Drosophila melanogaster: one gene and its partners. Changing the gene in region 4 together with the main gene of any one other region gives a genetic interaction. Each region holds a gene or a part of one and is shown on either strand. Other genes may lie near its edges.

Region 1 (5,278 bases), on a different chromosome or scaffold from region 4:
CCAGAATTCAGTGCTGCTAATCAAATTTGCTGAGAGGCATTTGTATAATTTGAATGTCTGTCCAAGTGCAATTTCAATTACAGTCGCTTAACTGTGGGAATTTCTGTATCTGTATCTTTAGTATCTGGCATCTCAAACTGCCCCAATTAATTGGCTGCGTAGTTGAAATTCCGTGCGATAAATGCGATTAATTGGAACGCTTCCTGCTGACCAACTTTATTTGCTGGACCCAACACCTGCTGCAGTCCCATCGACTTTCACTACGCACGGCTAACCCTAATTCCTCTGAAAAACCCAAAAAGACACGTCGAAGACGAGATAAACACAAACAAAACACTTGGCACCCAGCCGGGAAGGGGGCGTGGCTGGGGGCGCAGCCATCGGAGTGTGTAATCAACACTTTTATGTGATCCCCAATCCAATTCACAACTAATTACCAAAGCATCGATGGAATAGGAATAGGAATAGGAATTGGATTTGGATTTGGAATTGGCCTAGGGCATCGCTACATCGGCATGAAAATGTTGAAGGTATGGGGAGGGTTGGGGAATGGCATTTGGATTTCGATTGGGCATGGAAATGGAAATGAAATTGGGTGGCTCTCGCAATTAACGCTGGCATTAAAATCAGCCCAACGATTCCGTTTCCAATTATTTATTACACTTTCTGGTGCCTTTTATGCTGCTGCTTCTGCTGCGCTGTGCAGTTTGTTTAAACAAAATCAATCTAAATCGATTGCGCTACATTTGGAAAATAGAGACGTAAATCAATGGGCAGGCGACGGAGATGGAGGTGGGTCTGACCAGCCAACCAGGGACTACCAGAGATTAAAGGGCCCTCGGCGTGGCGATAACAAAGTGGTTTGTCCGCTGGAAATTAAGGCAAGCTGCGCCAAGTGAAGGTGCCGCGGGCAATGCCACCAAAAGAGGCAAGTACGTGTGCGTACTCTAAGTACATACACTGGAATTTACAGGGTATCGAAAGGTATGTACGATGGAGGAAAGGAATGTTTAACGGCTAATTTATAATCTTTGCTTCTCTAGGTCATAAAAATAAGTAATTAGACCACACGCCATATAAAATATGAATGGCCTTTTAGTATTTTTATAAATATGAAAATACAGGTAAATAGCTAGGCGAAAGAATACCATATATATAAATATCCTTTTGTTAGGACTTCATTTGCGTCACATCACCATCTGTTTAGTAACGTGAAATCCACAAAGGAAATAAGTTCTTAATTTATGCCGCCCCAATAACTTCATACATTACATCCATTAGTAACCAAAAACAAATCCGAATGGATTGACACAAGTCAAGAGTATCGATTAAAATGCTTTTATTGGAGCAAACAACAAAGGTTATTGAAAGTTATAACGGAAAGTTGTCGCGACTTAACTTCTGGCATGTGCACCTTTTATGATAATGTCATTGCGTATATGCCCCCGCCCACACTGTACAGAGGATATCGGTTAGTCGTGACTCCCGATCCCACGCTCCCTCCTCCTCAAGTGTTTATTTACACTTGTCTTATTTCTTGTTTGGAGTCTTTGGCGTGGTATCTTCTTCATTTTTTTGGTTTTTTTTTTTGTTTTAAGTAAGCGATTAGTGGCGGGAGACAATGAAAATTTGTCACTTGACAAGGCAAAAACAAAACGATTTCCATTTGCCCGACGACAAATGAGACATAAGGCAGGCACATAAGTGGATCCCAATTCTGCCCCTTAAATGCCAATGTATTGGAAGTAACAGCCAAATCAACAAAACAATCGTCTTGAGAGGACGTATGTGTGGGATGGAATGGTTCGGGATGGTATCGTATCGTATGGTATGGTATGGTATGGGATGAATCGGAAGCCCGCCCGCACACGCACTCGATGATTGTTATTAGTACATTTGCTGTGGAGTATATCTAATTTGCCATTGATGTGTGCATTAAGTTTGTACTGGGCGGCATACGGCATAGGAATTGTCGTAAAGCATTAGTGTCCCCCGAGATTAGAGCGAATGGAGGAGATAGGCCGAGGTGGAAAGGGGCCATGGCGGAAAAAGGCTGGCTCATCGCCCTTTTATTTGACATTGGGCAATATTTATTGCGAACTCATTTCAATGCTGGCAGAAACTAGGAAGAAAAGCTGACAGCGAAAAATGTACAGTGAAACCAGAATACCCTGGGCTCAGAAAATGTTACTATAAATACTAATGGGAAACCAAAGATGTTGTGGTTCTAATTGATGACATAATAAGATTATGTACATGAACTTATATATTTTTCAATTAGCAATTTGAAGGGGACTTTATACATTTAAAAATCAAATCACCTACGTAAGTGTAATATTTTTCATGTGACTGAGGCACACGATAGTTCCTTCTAGCCAGATGCGACTGTAGAAGGATAGCGCAGGCGACAGGATACGCAATACGAACAAAGCGGAATGGCAAAATACGCCATCAAAATAAATAAAAACAGGAGAAAACAGAACTGAGCGAAGGCGAAAACAAATTCGGTAGCACAGCATTCGGGGCTTTGGGCGGGAAAGAGATAGAACGAGGGGAGGGTTATACGTTACACTTCAACGTTACCGTTACGTCCCACCCAAAATGTAATGAAATCCTTTGTGTGCGTGTGCTTACGTGTCGGTGCGTGTATGTGTGTGTGTGTACGTTTTTGTTTGTCAACTTTGGCGAGGCGGGACATAAAAATGCTAATACAAAACACTAGAGCAAATTGCAGCAAAATAAGTTGTGAGTGGCGGCGGTGGAGGTGTGTGAGTGGCGAGCGAACTTGGCACCAGCTAACTAACTTTGCACGCAGGATTATCGCAAGGACACTTACCGTTTTAATCAGGCGAAAACACCGCTAATCCAATCGTAATCGTAACACCCACACAGACAAAGAAACAAAACACTAACACAACAAAGACACTAATTTTCGGCACTTTGCAGACGGAATTTAAATTCGACTTTTGCGCTTTTCTGCTGCTGCGATTTGTGCTTCAATTCGATTCGATGCGATTCGCGCAGACAAACGAAATTCAGGAATTTCAAGTGGAAATCTCGTTTGAGCACTTTTCGACCTGCGACTTACGAAGACGGCGCGGCAGAAAACTTTGGCCTTAACTTGGCTTTAAAATGGCCGTGCAAATGTGGATTGGCTAAGAACGCGCGACTTCAATTGCCAATGCACACTTTATGGTTTTTGCTTAAGTTTGGCAATTGCAAATTCTTTGCTCACCGGAATCTTCACTCTTGGTTTATACTATAATTCTTTTTGGACGCTCTACGCGACGCGATTGAAAGTGATGCGTGCGTCTGACCGCTCTCGTCGCCGTTCGAATTTTTTATGTTTCTGTTTCGCTGCCGAGCAGTGTTACCAGATGCAGGAGTAACCTCACCCGGCAAGAAGGGCCTAAAAAATACCGCGTTCGCCAACAGTTTAAAAGTTTCTTGTTCCAACTTAAATTTCAAATATTATGGTTAATAAGGGTCCAAAAACTCGTTCATTATTAAAGTGTTGATAATATTTTCATGAAAATATATATTTATTTAAAACTTTATAACTATCATCCCAAATTATAGAGTAGTTGTACTACACACATTGGCTTGTATAAGAACCCTTATCACTTGCTTTTATATAGGTCTCAATTGTTATTTATGTATTTCTAGCATTAAAATTACTAATTATAAGTAAAAATAACGGTATCAATTATTGTGTGAACTTCACAAAAGTTCTAGCCGAGACTCAACCCATTTGAACTGGTTCTTTGAACCAGCGCTGCCAGATATTAAAATAATAACCGCCAATTCGTGCTGATTTAAAAATTCCGCGGATTAACTTTTTTGCAGGCCAATCCCTTTGGAATATGCAAGTCACAAAGAAAACAAAAGAAATGGCGTGACATTTTAATCGAAATATGCAGCAACTTCCTGGCCCGCCTCATTAGGCGCCTTTGTTGGCTACGCCATCCTGGACTTCCGTTTATTTTCACTTTTTTTATTCAACTGGTCACGTTTGTTAATCGGCTTAGGGCCCAAGTACGTATTCCCTTAAATAGCTGACCCTCGAGAGCTGGGCACGTAGGAGGCCTACTCCATTGTTGGGATAATTTTAAGGGCAACTGTGCAGACAGGCGCGATCCGTAAGCCTAAAATATATGTGAAATGGAATTAAATGGGGTGGGTTGGATCGAACTGGGAATACCGGTTGTAGGGATCAAAAGAGCTCACACTTGGGAGTACCAACTAGTTGTTTTCGTTATTATTCGCATAACTACAAGGTAATATTCGTATTTAGATAACTAGCGCTAATCAAGTCTAAGAAAGCAAGCGGATATGTGGATCGCATAAGAGTTACGCTATGTACGGTACGATATTAGTCAGTTAAATCACAGATGTATTATTTCGCGCGCACTCCTCCGCCTGTCCAGCCTCCAATTCGAGCTCCAGCTCCACACCGGGCGTTCTGTCCGGTGGCTCGGCATTCAGCACAAGATTCTCTATGGATCGGAATGAGGCGTCCTCCAAGTGCGTGGACATGGCGGCGGTTGGGGGGCGAGGCAGGGTGCTGGCAGTGACCAAATTTCCGCCTCCCTGCGACTGGCGATGTCGCACCGAGGAGCGCAGTATGGTCACCACATCCTCCGCCGTATAGGGCCGCCTCTCCAGTGTCGAAGCACCCGAACGATGCAGTTTCCTGCCCAACGATTGCGAGCGTTGGGAGTAGCCAACGGGTCGCTGGTCGATCTCTATGGACTCGGGACTGCTGCTGGAAGCTGGCGAAGGATCCGCGTTGAAACTACTGCCAGCCGGATTGGTCAGTATGGTTAGGTAATCAGGCGGCGCCGCTGGCGAAGCAGACTCCGCATCGAGGGAGAGCACGGGTCGCGTTCGACTTGAGTCTCCGAGAACCCTGTGTCGATAAATTGGTCGTAAATAACTTTTTGTTTATATTAAGGGATGGTTTTTATGTACCTTCTTACGCTGCGGCGAATGCTCTGGCGCAGAAGCTTGGCAAGGCGGGCTCCAGTGGCCGTTGTGTAGGACGGAGGTGGTGTGTACTTTGGCGGAGCATCGTTCTGTGCATCGTGTTGGCCGCCCTCCGTGGTCTGGCCCAAAGCATTACGACGACTTTGGGACGCCGTTTGTCGAGCGGATGGACGACGCGGTTCCTCTCCCTCCTCGGGCGGTCGGTACAGCAGTTGAATGCGCTAAAAGAGAAAAGGAAATAATATTATTGAAAGTGCCAAATAATAAGGCAAATATTATTATAGACTCACCT
Region 2 (5,251 bases), on a different chromosome or scaffold from region 4:
TATCCATCTCGGGATTCGCCTCGGCAGACATGATGAAGTCCGGGTCACGGATCAGGCGGAGAACGGTGCGCTGCAGACGGCGAATTACCAGGCGAGTTGCTTCCCGGCTGAGTTCGATGTGCGTGGGGCTGATGTAGTCGTAGCCGTAGTTGTGGGACTGGCGGCGCAGCAGAAGCGTTGGTGTGGTGGGTAGTTCTAGAATCTTGAAACTTCGCTCGGCTATTGTGAAAATCATAAAAAGCATGCGCATGGTTGCCACCTTGTTTCGAAACGAAACACATAACATTAGGACATATCTGGCTAAGCGGCTTAGTTAAGCGGCTGCAATCAACGCAAGTTACTAAATACTGGCTTTTAGATTCATGGCCAACATCTGGCCAAGGACCAAAATCCGGTCAGCAAAGTAACATTTTCAAATTATACCGGCCAGCAATCGAAAATCGATGCGAAATCGTTCCCGAACGGGAAGCGATCTGGCAGCCTGCTCGCAGCTGTGATCGATACCAGACCGTTGCGAGTTGCGCGCGCAACCGCGACAATTCAAATAGCACAGCGTTCAGAAAATTACTAAGGTTTGTTTCTCAATCAATTCGAGACGCTCGAAAGAACTTACATGTGAATAGGATGGAAGCTGGCGTTTGTGAGTGCTGCAGCCCCAGATAAATTTTGCGCCTTGGAACTGTTTAAAATAGAATAACACATATGCTATTGGCAATATTTATTGATTTTTCTGATCCAAATTTTTAACGTACACAATAAAATTTTTTTTTAAGACTTTTCCGTAAACTTCTACATTTACAGCGTTAAAATCTGATCTGTGACATAATTTGCAAAAGCTCTGTGTGATCTAAAGGCACAATCTCGGTTATTGTGTTCAAATAATGTATTAATACAATAAATTCACTTAGTAACAACTACAACGTCTGGCACGTGAGTAAGACAAGTTAACAACTGGCCGCCGGATTTTGGGTTTGGGTTAGCTCTGCTCTGCTCTGCTCCTTCCTGTTCCGAGCAATCTGAATCTGGAGCAGATCGCAGTGGTTAGACGTACGACACATAAATATATATATATATATATAAACATTCCTTGGGCTGATTATACGCGACGCAGCATTTAGTTGTGGTTTTGAGAGTTAGGATCAGTAAGCTTTAACCGCTGCATCGCCTACAATCAGTTTCGAGAACGCACATAAATTAGGCGTGTAAACACTATCAAAAAGTTAATATAAAATGTAAAATTGGCGCCGCTTGTTGCTCCTGCAACCCGCTGGCTCGTTCCATCCGGGTTTCACTCAGGCGAAGTCCCTGAACATGGTGAACAGGCTGTATAGGACGCGCAGGGTGGACTTGAGGTCCATGTTCACGATGTCCTCCGGCCGCGCCTTTGGTTTGGGCAGGCCCACGTCCTGCATCAGGTCGAAGGCGAAGGCCACGTTGCTGACCATCTGATCCACGTCCTGCGGCGTCAAATGGAACTCGTGCAGCGGCACAAAGAATCCACCGAGCAGGCCCATCAGCAGGCACAGGTATACGCCGTCGCGAAAGTCCGTGTTCAGATCGCTGATCTCAAAGTTCAGCTTGGCCAGGTGCTTGTTCACGAACGTGATCAAGGACTTCTTCACCACGGCCAGCTTGTCCGGCGCACAGTCGATCAGCGTGTCGAAGGCGTCCTTTTCGCAGCGCATGCCCAGGTCGTCGTACTCGGACGTTATCTGCTCCTGGAACTTCTGCGCGTTCAGCACGCCCGCATTCTTCTCCGCAATCACGACGGTCACGAACACGTTCTCTGGCAGGCGAACGGGCGCCCGGAAGTGACGCACCAGTGCCACCAGCAGATGTAATATGGCCACAATGTTCTTCGAGTGCACGCTGGCCACCGACCACTTGGGAATCTTTTGGTGAAAGCCGAGTGTCTGTGGGTGTGGGCAAGGATAAAATTTATTCTTATATCGCGAGAAAAGGGAATGTTAATTGTAAATCGAATAAAAATTATTCTATTCGACTTTAAGAATGGATAAATAATTAAATGTTGGTAACTCCGATTTTTAAATCCTGCAAAACATAAACTACTACTACTTACATGGTTGACGGCCTTCAGGACGATGTTGAGCTTCTCGTGCTGGCCCTGCTCTGACTGGGTGACCTCAGGAACGTCCAGCTTCTTGCCGGTGAGCTTCTCCCACAGCTTGTGCAGCACCTGGCCGTCATACATGTCCTCTTCCAGGTGCTGAACAATTATGCGCTGCTCGGCCAGCTCGTCGTTGATCCAGTCGACGAGGATGCGCTGCAGCTTTATCACCTGGGGATCACTGATGGACTGTGGATCGATGACGGCGCGCTGTTCGTGCTCGCCTGTAGGATCAAATGTGATGAGTTGTGGGAAATGCGATGGGTATACGAGGAGATGCCCCTTCAAAACGAATGCACTTACGCAGGGCATAGTCCTCCGGCGGGATGTCATACTGGCTGGGCGATCCAGGCGAGTCGATGGCGTACTTGCCCTCCTCTTGGACCTTCTTCACTGCAAATGGAGCAAGCGGATGCGTATTTAGGGTATCAACAAGGTAAACAAAAACGGTGACGACACAAGGCCATCTCACACAAACGCACACACTCTCGATTATCAGCGCCGTTTGCTTGTGTGGGTCAACAGTGACGCAATGTTCTGATTAATCAGCGCATCCGCACATCTGTTCCCAGAAGAGCTTCCAGTGCGCAGGGGGAGGATCCATTGGGTCATTTTGGGCCACTTTTCGGAGGTTCAGGGGTCCAAGAATGGAATACTCTGGGATACCCATCAATTCCTGGCCGACAATAGCCATCTGGAGAGCTCCAATCATCAAGTGGACTTACCTTCGCGGGTGCCGCGTTTGCGGCCCAAAGTGCTGAACTTGTCCCAGAAGCTGTCCTCCTTCTCGCCCTTTTTAATGGCGGTGGGCGTGTGCGGGGATTTAGGGCGGTTCAGTGTGGACATGGTGCTGCTGGATTCCAAGAATTCCGGACTAAGTGAACAGTTTGTGTTATTGTTTCGATTCGTTTCGGGCGGAGCTGAGCAATCAGTTTCCCTTGGGGCTGCCACCTGATCGCAGGCCCACCACACATGTTGTCCAACACTGGCGTTCGGACTCAAGAGAAACTTCCAAAAAAATCGAATAAAAACTAAATTGCCAATTATAAAAATTGTTTAAAAAGACCTTAGATTAAATTAAAACAATGAGCTTAAATGTTATTTTTCATTTATAATTTAAAAAAAATGTGGCTTTTGACAACAACAGCTAGAAGAAATTCATATCAGCTTAATAGTTTTTGAATTTGTACATCAAATTAAATTGTTGGAAATTTTAAAAAAATTATAATGCGTAGATCATTAGATCATTGATTAAAAAGCACAACAACATATGTATGTATGTATGTCCTTCATACCGAATCAGATCAGATATAATTCGTATATATTAGATATGCTATATCCAGAAAGATAAATTTCGTACCGCTTAAAAATTATTGTACCACATTGCGTATACAGATAACTACCAATCCAATGATTTAAAGGCTTTCAGAATAGTTACATATATGTATAATACGGAACTAGGGCTATACTACGTCTATGGTTTAGATGGAGTTGGGCAACTGGCAGGCGCGCACAGCCACGAGCTGCAACAGAACGAAGATCGGCGAGAAGACCTCCGAATACTCGAGGCCCGTCTTGCTGGATAGCTTCAGGCAGAGCAGGTACTTGAAGATGGCGATGAGCACCAGGAAATACGTGCTCCACATGAAGCGATGCAGGGCTTTGCGCTTGTTGTTAGAGTCCAGGTACATGCGGATGCCCACAATGACGCAAAAGTACGCGTTGCAGATGTCGATGAAGAACAGGGGGCTGAAGACGGTGAACCAGTCGCCCATGGGCTCCGGGAGTATGCCACCGGGTCCGGCCCTGGCCTGCAGATGGAGCTTGACGGTCAGCGTGATGGTGAACACCAGCAGGCCGCACAGATTGACCAGAATCTCGAACTCGGTGAGCCCCAGCCAGCGCACCAGCTCCGAGAGTTTGAACATGCTACTGCCTGGCCTTCGCCTTGCCTCGGAACTGGCCCAGGGACTGGGCTTGCGTCTGGGACTGCGACGGTTGCGGCACGGCGATGTCGAAGAGACTGTTATTGAGGATCTTGATGTGCAGGGCCGAGTTGTTGCGCTGGCGGAAGGTTATGTCCTCGGCATCGCACAGCGGGTGCAGTTCGTCCACCAGCTGAACGGTGGAGGTGTTGATGGCGTAGCTAAGGGCGCCGTCAGAATTCTGGACGAGGCGTAGGGCGATATTGAGGCCGCGGGTTACGGAGAAGCCCATGCAATGCAGAAAGATCTCGTGGGCGCCGGAGTTAATCAGCTCCTCGCAGCGGCGCTGCTGGGCCTGTCAAGGAGATGGACTCTGTCACTTAGCACATGGGCGATTCACCATCCAGCATGAGTTCAGTTCTACTTGCCTTAAAGTCTGTCTTGCTGGTGATGTAGATGTTGTGGCGGTCGCTAACAGCGGGACGCGGCGGCTGCTTGCGCACCACTCGGTGGTTCTGTTGTTTGTGGTATTTGGCGGATCTCGGCTTGGTCCCGTGCTCGGGATAATTGCTTCCCATCATCAGCGGCGGAGGAGGCGACTTGTGTTTTCCATTTACCTGCGCGTGTCGCAGTTTCGGACTCGCGACTCCATTCCGAATCGCACGCTGGCCAACACTGGCCAACTCTAGCGAACACTAGGCAATAGCTGAGCGATCTGGCAGCCTGGCTCTAGCTGTCACCGTGACAGCTCTCGATAGTTTTGAGCCAGCCCATCGCTATAGCTATCGCCAGGCTCGTGAGATTCTCGCCAGTTGAAAATTTTTCGTCGTACTCTCGTAACAACAAAGGTATGTTTTTCGTTTTGGCACCTTATCAAGTACACCAGACCGTAAGCCAAGGCACCGATCGATGCCATCCAAAGCAAGAATTAACTTGGCCGCGCGGCGCCACTTCGCCACTCCAAATCGCAACACTCGCACACACACACACATACACTAGCGCACTTACACACTTCCGCTGGCGAATTCCTCGGGCAGCAGGAAAAGAAGAAAGAAAAAAGTACAAGTTACATAACTCGCTGATGCACTCGGGGTAGTCATGTCTGTCGGGGTGAGTTGTTTGATGAGGGGCGGGCCGGGTCTGCATCTTCCTGCGTAAGTTGGCCCCCACCAAATGGATCCGTAACCGAATGGGCGTA
Region 3 (5,792 bases), on a different chromosome or scaffold from region 4:
CATCAATTAACTAGAATCCGGATCGATTATTTGCCGCTCCTACGCACATTCGCACATTGGCATGGATAACATTTAAACGAAGTAAACACTTAATGCGAATTTATGGCCGCCAAATGTCCAATTTGGAATTTAAGCGAGCTTGGCAATGAAGAATTTATGGTTTTTGGTCGCTATTGCGGTTAGAATTTTACATAGAAAATCGAACTGCAAAGTTCAATATAATTTTATGAAAGAATCGATTACCTAACAAAGGACACTTCTCAGGCTTTGATTTTGCTACACAATACAATACAATGCCTTAATTGCAATCATATATTAATATGAGTGGAACTGAGCATAAACTATGTATTTCCAAACATTTTGGCCACCATTTCAAAATTAGCACAATTTGCGCCGAGCTGCAAAAGTTTGTCAGCAGGAAAAAAAGGCAAACAAAAAGTTAATTAAAACAAAAATTACGGACAGTGGCCGGCGGTCGTTTGGTGGCGACTGTGCCGCAGCATTAGCAGTGCAGCCAAAAATGCAGCCGAAAAATCTGCGCGCCATCTAAAACAAAAATTAATTTTTGGGCCAGGGAAAGTTTTTATTTCCCTCCCATTGCTGTTGCTGTTGTTCTTGTTGTTGTTGTTGTTTGCTGGCCAGGCGAGAGTTTGCATTGTTTTGCATATTTTATACGGCGGAAGTGTATACGGCAAAGGCACTCGCCATCATGCCAACTACCCCAACCCAAAAAAAAAAAAAAAAAAGCGAAAAAAATGGTATGTGCAACACGCAAATTATGCAGGCGCATAAGACAAACTTTCTGTTTTGCGGATTCGACAACCGGCGGGATGAAAATTAATACGAAAGCCAAAAAACGGGGTTGCCCCCCCACCCACACAAACATCTAGTTCCTACGTATTTCTGAGATCCAAAACTGCATCGGCAACTGGAGCACCGCAGAGTAATTAAAAATACAGCCAATGGCCAGAGCAGAAAAACCCCGAGCAGCTTGTACTGAAGGAGATCATATCGGCCATGTTTGCAGCCCAGAAATCTGAGTCCCTTCAAAATTTGCATCTAGCATCCATCAAATAGATAAAATTGAAGAAATGTCTCAGCTTGCAGTTCTAATAAAAACTATTAAAAAAGAAAAGAAAATTAAACTAAAATGCATTAAAAAGGGTAAAAGCCAACATGACTATATTGAATTGATATTTTATTAAATGTGCTCTAAGCTCATTTCTTATTGCACTGCAGTTTTCAGTTTATAACGGTATAAAATTCTTAAGTGGCTAAGTAATAAGAAACAGACTTACTTTATTATTACTGTTTCTATATTGTTTTCTTTCGGTTCTAAGCGCTTAAAATAGCTTATATTGTCCCAGACTTTTTGAGATTCAGGCACACAGCAAATGGCTGCCGAATTGCAAACGCGATTTAAATGGGTAATGCCAGGACATGGCGATTGTTTTATAATGCAACGTCCCCACTTTCCACTTTTGCGCCTGCAAGCTTATTACAACGGTTAGCTTTATATTTACTATCCCAAGTCGTGTCCTTACTCACTAATATATCGAAGTTTACTTTCATGTGTATATGGTGTGAGCAGCAGAAGTAAGGCAAGAACGTAAAATATAGCGAAAAAAGTCATGATGTCTCACTTCACATGGAGATGTGATAAATCATATTAAAATCTTATATGCGTCAACGAGATGGCTGCATTTAAGATATTAATCAACTGTGTAATTAACTAATCAACAAAGCGCCTATTTCCAAGTCGACAAACCACAGATTTCATGCTTTAGTTATGCCTGTTTTTTGTCTTTTCGATATAATTCAAACTGGTTTCGACACTGTAGTGAAGATGCTGGAGAAAAAGCGAAATACTTTAAACAAAATCAACAAAACCCGGTATTGAGTTTGGGTTCGATTTGTTTTTTATTTTTTCCTGTCTGCCGGCAGTGGCGACAATCGAAAAAGGCAAAAACCAGCCCCCAGCTATTATTCGGATCCCCCATCACCTCCAACTCGCCCACATCCACATCGATCGATCTTGCTGACGCTGCGAGAGATCTTCTCAGTTTCTCGAGACGATCGGACGACGCACGACGCATTCCGCACTTTGGGTCTATTTTCGTGATTAATTTCGAAGAGCGGAGACGTATTCTAATAGGAACCCATGTTCCATTCTGTAACGTGAGTGCCATATAATCTGCAGAAATCAGTACGAATTCGTCCAGATACTCAACAATTTTACGCATACAGTATGAAAAGCCTTGGTGTTTTCCTACAAAAATAGGTCAAGTGCAGTGTTTGTGTAACATAGTGACCTAAAAAACGTTTAAATTCGTTTTCATGTGGATGAAAAGTGCTGAAAACTGACCGAAGAAAAACATATGCTAACAAAAAGTGCAGTTGGCGCAGTTTGAGAGCTACTGAAAGTGGCTGCCAAAACAGTTTTAGAATTACTCTGTAAGTAATTGTGGTTCATTACTTAGTTTTAGACCAACTACACGAAAAATATATAAAAATAAAAATAAATACATTTTACAACAATATTTTATATTTTAATTTAATACATAAATTAATACATAATTTAACATAATACATAATAATAATGTTAAGTCCTTTAAGACATTTGAATATTTCATTAATCGAGCAAAGTAAAAATAAACAAAATTATATCAATATTATTAAAGAATGCATGTTATTATAAATTCAATAAATAAAACACGTTACAATTAAGTTTTTACCAATCACAAGTAAACACACTTTCTACATGTAGATATGATAACATACATCGAACGCGCGTAAAATTTATGTTGGTACCTTTTTATCAACAATTGTTTGGTGAGCTTTGATTTCACATTCATATATAAGTAGATACAAATGAATAATGAACATCTTTTTTTTTAAATAATATAAATATAAATATTATTTAATAAATGAGCTCAATACTTATTATTCGATTAAGTCATTTACAATATCTTACATTGCTTCCTGTCGATGTAAAATTACATATTTCTACTTGTCTGGCAGCCCTGAAATACATATAACAGATATAATAGCTCACATTACAAAAAAATTGCTTACAAAATTTAAAAAAGCATAGAATTAGTTTGCCAAATTCTTTTACTATTCTGCTTTTAGAAATAAAAATTTATTGACTAACCTTCAAAATAATTAATTAGAAATGTATATTTTGTTCTGGTATTTTTTAGGGCGTATTAGGAATCAACGAAAATGAGTCAGTCTTGTATACCAGTGAGCGCAAAGATGTCGAAGGCAAAGAAGGTTTTGGATGAAGCCCGAGAAACTCACAATCCCGAGTTGGATTTGGCCGACAAGGGGCTGTCGTCCTTCGAGGAGTTGCCCGGACTGTGTAAGTATCAAAACCAAAGGATCTTGAAGGAATTATACGGATTTTTGCACTTCTGAGTAAACATAATGGTGGGTTACTTCCACGCAGAATGGAGCCTCGCCCAGCTGCTAAAAAAATTGTAAATTAATAATATTCTAGCGTATGTATTTATGTTGTGGTAATAATATTCATTTAAAATGAGTCTAAGCATCTTTTTAAATGGAGTCGCTTAGTTTTATTTATTGTGATGACGCCAGCAGCAAAATATGCATAAGTTTGAGTGTAGAGAACGTAAACAAACACTGTAAATACCGCAAATAAGATGTGTATACATATCTGGGAAATGTACTACAACTCCATAACTATGACTTCATTTACATAAAATTAGAATATACTACAATTATTAATCTTAAAACCATTAAATTTTTGAGAAAAAAAAAACATTGCGCATGCCTCTGCTTATATTGTTGTCCCGCTCCAACATTCGGCGTCTATACTTGTTGCCTGCAATCAGCTGTTTGCATTTAAACCCAGTGGTGAATTCACAGTGCATTGGACAATTATGAAAAACAATCTTTGATATCACGAAAAAGGAAAAATATGTATTTTAAAGAGTTTAGTATTCTTATTAATATAATTTTTTTTGCAGTCAACATGTCCAACATCACGCGCTTGACCCTGTCCCACAACAAGATCAGCGTAATCAGTCCGGGAATCGCGAACCTACTGAATCTGGAGATCCTGAACCTCTCGAACAACCAGCTGACCGAACTGCCCGTTTCGCTGTCGTCCATGCCAAAGCTACGCATCCTCAATGTGTCCATCAATCGGCTGATAAATCTTCCTCGCGGCTTTGGAGCCTTTCCGGTGCTGGAAGTGCTCGACCTGTCCTACAACAATCTCAACGAACAGGTCCTGCCTGGTAATTTCTTTGGTATGGAGACACTGCGTGCTCTGTATCTGGGCGACAATGACTTCGAGTATATACCGAAGGAGGTGGGTCAGCTGAAGAATCTGCAGATACTCGGATTGCGTGACAACGATCTTCTGGAATTGCCCCGCGAAGTTGGGGATTTGGTGCGACTGCGGGAGCTACATATTCAAAACAATAGGCTGCAGGTGCTGCCACCAGAGATCGCCCAGTTGGACCTACTGAGCAACAAGTCGGTCATGAAGATGGAGGAGAATCCCTGGGTCAATCCCATCGCCGAGCAATATCTGCTGGGCATTAGTCACGTCATCGACTACCTCAAAACGGAGACCTATAAGATGTGAGTGCACCATAGATCCATATATCCATAAATGTATATTCATCTGATCCTTTTCCTTGACAGCATCTACAACCGCCACTTGCAAGCAGGACGCAGTGGACCGCCGCCACCCAAAGCTGACAAAAGCAAGAAGGCCTCTCGAATTCGCGCATAGTGATTCTCCACCAGAAGATCCCAAGATCCCATGGAATTACAAATGTGTTCGTCTCGTTCGTTGTTAACCAAACCCGTTTTCGTATACTAATTTATAAGTACTTTTAAACTAATGCGTATTTCTGCAATGTGCCTTGACCCTTAGTTTCACTAATGAAAATAAAACAAAATAATAGATGCATATATGTATTCCTGCTGGTTTAATTTCGGATCCTATGCGCAAAAGAATCGTTAAATAAAGACACGCTTGTATATTTTATAAAATAGTAGGTTTTTCTTGTTTTTATTATCTTTTCTCATATTCATTCTTCTTTTTTAAGAAATTTGTTCATAATCATAATTAATTAGTTTACTTAAAGTCAATTAATTAATTCTTTATTTATTTTAATTAAATTAATAGTTAAATGTTTTTTGTTTTTGTTCTTTGTTTTCTATGTTTGAGAAAAACTAAAAGCATAGTTCTGCTTTGTTCGCTTTGAGTTTGTTTCGTTTCTTTGCATTTTTTCACTTGTCAATTTGAATTGAATACATTTTTTTTTTATCAATTTATGTTATTTAATTATTTTGTAAACGTATTTCGCCTTCACTGTATCTGCAATTCAAATTTAATTTATTCCTTAAAGTATATTTTAGTATTTATATTTATATATTTTTTATAGAGTTTATTTACAAGAGTTAAAGATGTTCTTTTACGAAAAGTCTGGCAGAAAAACAAACAAAAATGTAAATTCATTTATTCAGTAAATTTCTCCAAAATGATAGCACGGAAACGTCTTGTAAATTCGAATTGAGATAATTCCATAGCTATGCGTCACGATATACAAGTTGGATGTGCGAATGGAAACGAAGACAAGGGTTTCAAAAATAATATCATATAGCTTTCAAGCTATAAATGTCTTTTCTTGGAGTAGTACATCAGTCGGGACTCCGTGAGTAGTTGCACGATTAGTTCTTGAGCATGCAAATACGAAACACAGACAAAAACAAAAAACATAAACTAGTAACCTATGAGACTACAACAAAGC
Region 4 (5,296 bases):
TGTCACCACTCCATCAACGTTCACCACCCAGATCATTTTGGCACAGGCTACGCCCACACCAACGCCCACAGCGGAGGAGATGAAGCTGGAGACCCATCTGTCATCCATCTCTAGTGCTTCCTCATCGCATTCATATGCCTCACCCCCACAATCACCCCGCATCTTCCAGCAAAGCTACGAACGCCTGACCACCAAGAGCATTTTGGCCAAGAGCGGCCATAACCATTTTGGCCACCAGAGCGATACCAATAACTACAGCATCGACGGCTACCTGCATGGCTCCTCAAATGCTAGCTCCTACTCCTCCTACTCCGCATCAATGACGTCCTCATCGCTGGTCTCGTCGGCCCAGTCCAACTCCTCATCCATCGCGAGGAGGCCAGCTTTCGAAAGTCGTGCTCGCACCAAAACCGATTCACTGAAGTATGCCCGCTAAAACCAAAAACCGTTCCGATAACCGTTTTTTTACCGTTTCGCTAAGTAAAATCAATCGTTTTGCGCATGAGTTTTTCAAGGAGTTCGCATGGATAGTATCGGGAAATCCGTTTTTGAGATATTATTTTTGAACCTGTTAACTATATTCTTTCGGCATGCCTTAAGCTCAATATAAAATATTAAATCTTTGAAATATTTTAGTTTAATATAAAAAGAACTTTTATACAAATTTAACCAATTCTCAACAGACATCGTCAGCACTCCCTTGGAAATTCGCATAATTCGGAATCAGCTGAATTTCAATCTATTATCGAACGAATGGCCAGTTTGGGACCCAATTCCCAGCTAAGCAAGGGTGCAGATGAAAATCTTTTGCTGTAAGTAGTTCAACTTAATGTCGAAGTAATAAAAACAAAGACTCATCTATGAATATAATTAAAATTATTTTCAGAGCCGATTATGTCACCTGGAATGGACCCAACACGAAGCTTCTTCAAAAGCAGATCACTCAAGGACCTAATGCTAGTCTTCTCACAGATCGCACCTATAAGCCAAGGGGTGGGAAATCGGAACTCTGCAAAGGACCCCAGTCCGGATTGGCGAAGGGCAGCATCTACGCCCAAGGCAGCAACAAGAGCGCCAACATCAAATGCAACTAGGCGGGAGTATCTCATCTGGAACCTCCCCCAGAGTGCCAAAGAAGTGAAGATGAATCTTAGTAGCCAAGCACCACCCTCCACATGTTCAGACTTACGATTTATATATGTCGTAGTGTTTTTTGCTCTTATCCTTAAACACCTACCAAATACCACACGAGTACGTAGACTCAACAAAAAAAAAAAAAAAAAAAAAAAAAAACGAAGTCACATTCCATCCAAGCTCCAATTGTTTTTAGTAACTCGTAAATAAACAAACTTTAAAACTAACAAACTTATTTAATATTAATGCGCGTCTGGAGAAAGGGGATTATGGGGATTATGGTACAAAAAGCACATGGGTGTAATCTAGACCTCGTCCTCGTTAAGGAGCATGTTTGGTATACCATCGCTGATGGGAAACACACGACCTGTCTCCGGGCACTCCAGTTGACCCTCGAGCACGTCGATCTCGAAGAGCAGATGGTGAAGCTTCTGCAAAAGCAGTTCATTCTCCACAATGTTTTCAGGCTGAACGGCAGGAATGTCTTCTGTGAGTTCCGCCTAAAAAACAAATTCCAATTATTAACGAATATAAAAAATAACAGGTTTTAATAGTTTAAAACTGATTAAAAATATTTGAAACCAGTAAATTTGAAATCAGTAACACTATTTAGAACCATTCTATGGTTCTTTTAGAACCATTCTATCACTTACCACCTGAGCAGCTCCATAGACCGCTGACCAGTCCAGCTTGGGAAGGATTCTCTCCACAAAAGTTGGATTAAATTCGCTCTCCACCACTTCCTTTTTGTTAATCTAAATGCAAAAACAAATAGACCGTGAAACAATCAATAGCCAGGACTTGGGACACCGGAACTCACCGTCAGTTTCAGGGGAAATCCCACTTTGACGCCCTTGATGGCCACGGAGGTCAAGAAGTTGTATGTGCTGAGTTTCATTTTCGGGCTTGTAATGGTTTAATTAATACAAAGAGATGAGGTAAACAACAATGTTTTTAAATAATAGTTGCGGTGCACGTTGTATTCCTTCTTCTTCTTGCTTTAAACATTCACAATTGGTGTATGTCATCGATACCACGATACACACTTGTCGATGTTTTGCAGCAGTTGGCAACGCGAGCAGTGTGTTAAATATTTAAAACGTCCACACTGCACAAATTTTAATTGGAATTCTCACAACTGTCGCATTTTAAGCGTTTAAATCTGTTTCTAGATGTAAATTAGGTTGGAAAACCTATAATATCAGTGACTGCGAGCGGAATAAAGGAGTGAGGAGTAAAAATGGAGGACATATTCCACTGGTGCCGCGAGGGCAACTCGATTCAAGTGCGCCTCTGGTTGGATGAAACGGAGCACGACAACAATTTGGGGTAAATCCAATAGAGGCAACTAACTCCATCACTTTCTAGTTGCTTTATAGTGCACTTAGAAAGTTAAGCCCTCAAGTAGCAACCCCCTCTACCAGGAACGTTTACTTAGTCATCGCCTAAATACGCCCAAGATTTCGAGGGTCTTTCAAGTCTAAGTGACGTCATGATTTATTCTTGTGTTGTGTAAACAGACGAATCAAATATATAAGTATACGTATGTTCATATTTGCCTGTGTGCATATCGCGAGCATAAAACCCGCTTGCCATGTTTATATTGTTCTTTACTTATAATTAGTCTTATAATCCTTTAAAAAGGACCATACCTAACTCTAAGAGCATAAGTATATAAGGTCTATAATGCTCAAATTCCACCATAATTAAAATAAATAAAACAAATAAATTCGTACACTTTAGAGACGACCATGGCTTCAGCCCGTTGCATTGGGTGGCTAAAGAGGGCCACGCCAAGCTTGTGGAGACTCTGTTGCAGCGCGGTTCGCGTGTGAACGCCACCAATATGGGCGACGACATCCCACTCCATTTAGCGGCAGCTCATGGCCACCGCGACGTGGTCCAGATGGTGAGATAAAACAGAAACCAGCTAGGTAACTTATTTAAGAACTTATCTGCCTCTACAGTTGATAAAAGAGCGCAGCGATGTGAATGCGGTAAACGAGCATGGAAACACCCCCCTGCACTACGCCTGTTTTTGGGGCTATGACATGATCTGCGAGGATCTGCTTAATGCGGGAGCCCAGGTGGGAATCGCAAACAAGGACGGGCACACACCTCTTGAAAAGGCCAAACCCAGTCTGGCCAAGAGGCTTCAGGATCTTGTAGAAAAGAGCGGCAGAGAGGTTAAGGTTATCAGCTTCAAGGAACAAAGCTGGCAGGGATTGAAGACGAGATCCCGGGATGCTACTTTGTCCCGTTTCAAGGGAATCAGTATGGGAGACCTAGACCTGCATACCAAGCTGTCGGTGACGCCATCAGGAGAAACTTGGCGCGGACGCTGGCAAAAGAACGATGTGGTAGCTAAGATCCTGGCCGTGCGTCAGTGCACGCCTCGTATATCGCGAGATTTTAACGAGGAGTTTCCCAAGCTCCGCATCTTTTCGCACCCTAACATTTTGCCTATTATTGGAGCATGCAATTCGCCACCCAATCTGGTGACAATTAGTCAGGTGCGTTGAATTTAAATAACTTCAGAAATGACCGTATAAGGTAACCATTCTATTTTCTTTAGTTTATGCCACGTTCTTCGCTGTTTAGCCTGCTGCATGGAGCAACTGGCGTCGTGGTGGACACCAGCCAGGCGGTAAGCTTTGCCTTGGATGTTGCGAGAGGAATGGCTTTCCTGCACTCGCTGGAGCGCATTATTCCAACATATCACCTGAACAGTCATCACGTGATGATCGACGATGATCTGACGGCGAGAATCAACATGGGCGATGCCAAATTCTCTTTCCAAGAGAAGGGACGCATCTATCAACCGGCTTGGATGTCGCCGGAAACATTGCAGCGCAAGCAGGCGGATCGAAACTGGGAGGCCTGTGACATGTGGAGCTTTGCTATTCTTATTTGGGAGCTGACTACGCGCGAGGTACCCTTCGCCGAGTGGTCGCCCATGGAGTGCGGCATGAAAATTGCGTTGGAAGGTCTGCGGGTCAAGATTCCGCCAGGCACATCGACGCACATGGCCAAGCTGATTTCAATCTGCATGAACGAGGATCCCGGCAAGCGGCCCAAGTTCGACATGGTGGTTCCCATTCTGGAGAAGATGCGCCGCTGAAGGAGAGGGGCAAATTCAATAAATGCCAAGCCAAAATGTGCCTTGAGAAACCTTAGATTTGCCAACTAATTGTAATTACTACTTTGTGTTACCTTTGTCTAACTGAGCCTAACCGAAAACCGTACCGAAATGGCAAAGCAAGTGCAACTGCTCTGTCTAGAGTTTATGTTTCTGTGTCTCACTGTTCTCTACTTATGATTTTCCGTCGATGTTTAGTGCGGGTGCTCGATTTTTTACTTTTTAAGTTCAATAACCATTATGATCGTATTTATACAGAAATATATTTGTTACTAATTAATCAAATCGATCAAATTGATTGTGTACCAAAGCAAATGCGGAACCACTTACGAGGGCTTTAGTCCACAGAGCTTATTCGCTGAGCAGCAAACAAGTCGGGAGCTTTCCGCCGGAGTGGGTGGCAATGCATCAGCGCAGCGGGTCGGGTAACGTGAGCACGGCGGCCCTGACCTGGTTTTCATTTCAGCACGCGATTGTGTGCAGCTCGCGTGGGCAGAGCAAACTCGGCGCTTCAGAAGAGCGCGCCGGCGTGAGAAACTCGCGGCGAGAATGGCGCAAATTTGTTGTATTTGCTCGAAATAATTTATATTTATTATCCAATATGTTTTCATTTATAGGCTTAAGGAAAGTGTGGTATTAGTTATTGGCTGATTTGCCAGTGACACTTTTTATCATCCTTAAGATTTTGTTTTGCTAACGTACTTTATATTATTTAAAATCATCTTTTAATGTTGTTTTATTTTCTTTTCTAAATTGATGTTTAAAGCTCTTAAATTATATTAGACAAGGTACTTGTGATTTCTTTTTATTTATTTTAGCTTATAATATTTTGTTGTTCTAAACGATAATTTTGTTATTTTTTGTGTCATTAAATATCGAAAATATTTGGCAAATTATGATTTACATACTAGGATGAATCATATTTTTTCATAAATAGAAAAAAAGATTTTTATATTTAAATTAAAAATACGTTTTTATATGTATTTTCTTATATATAAATTTATTTATATTTTTTTACATTTA

The links.
Region 1: of Ilk (region 4) and sli, changing one enhances a phenotype caused by changing the other (phenotypic enhancement), as found in Drosophila melanogaster (one study listed by BioGRID).
Region 2: of Ilk (region 4) and parvin, changing one suppresses a phenotype caused by changing the other (phenotypic suppression), as found in Drosophila melanogaster (one study listed by BioGRID).
Region 3: of Ilk (region 4) and ics, changing one suppresses a phenotype caused by changing the other (phenotypic suppression), as found in Drosophila melanogaster (one study listed by BioGRID).

What each region holds. Positions count from the first base shown.
Region 1 is NT_033778.4:15,918,803-15,924,080, forward strand, and holds the start of sli (slit), read right to left. Parts: upstream 3,317-5,278; 5' UTR 2,837-3,316; intron 1-2,836. Other genes in the region: bdg (bedraggled), read right to left, coding at 4,381-4,909, 4,972-5,207, 5,277-5,278.
Region 2 is NC_004354.4:19,743,912-19,749,162, reverse strand, and holds parvin (parvin), read right to left. Parts: upstream 3,123-5,251; 5' UTR 2,975-3,122; coding exon 2,854-2,974; exon of another isoform or gene 2,676-2,853; intron 2,522-2,675; coding exon 2,432-2,521; intron 2,353-2,431; coding exon 2,081-2,352; intron 1,914-2,080; coding exon 1,293-1,913; 3' UTR 705-1,292; downstream 1-704. Other genes in the region: Alr (augmenter of liver regeneration), read right to left, coding at 1-250; CG33932 (uncharacterized protein), read right to left, coding at 3,610-4,056; Rpp20 (ribonuclease P protein subunit p20), read right to left, coding at 4,058-4,408, 4,482-4,634.
Region 3 is NT_033779.5:13,638,682-13,644,473, reverse strand, and holds ics (icarus), read left to right. Parts: upstream 1-1,871; 5' UTR 1,872-2,454; intron 2,455-3,201; exon of another isoform or gene 3,202-3,203; 5' UTR 3,204-3,225; coding exon 3,226-3,364; intron 3,365-3,992; coding exon 3,993-4,614; intron 4,615-4,677; coding exon 4,678-4,768; 3' UTR 4,769-5,027; downstream 5,028-5,792.
Region 4 is NT_037436.4:21,214,690-21,219,985, forward strand, and holds Ilk (integrin linked kinase), read left to right. Parts: upstream 1-2,211; 5' UTR 2,212-2,374; coding exon 2,375-2,463; coding exon of another isoform or gene 2,464-2,467; exon of another isoform or gene 2,468-2,877; coding exon 2,878-3,043; intron 3,044-3,101; coding exon 3,102-3,647; intron 3,648-3,709; coding exon 3,710-4,255; 3' UTR 4,256-4,551; downstream 4,552-5,296. Other genes in the region: CG10508 (uncharacterized protein), read left to right, coding at 1-423, 684-812, 887-1,094; Trmt112 (tRNA methyltransferase subunit 11-2), read right to left, coding at 1,440-1,634, 1,788-1,889, 1,955-2,032.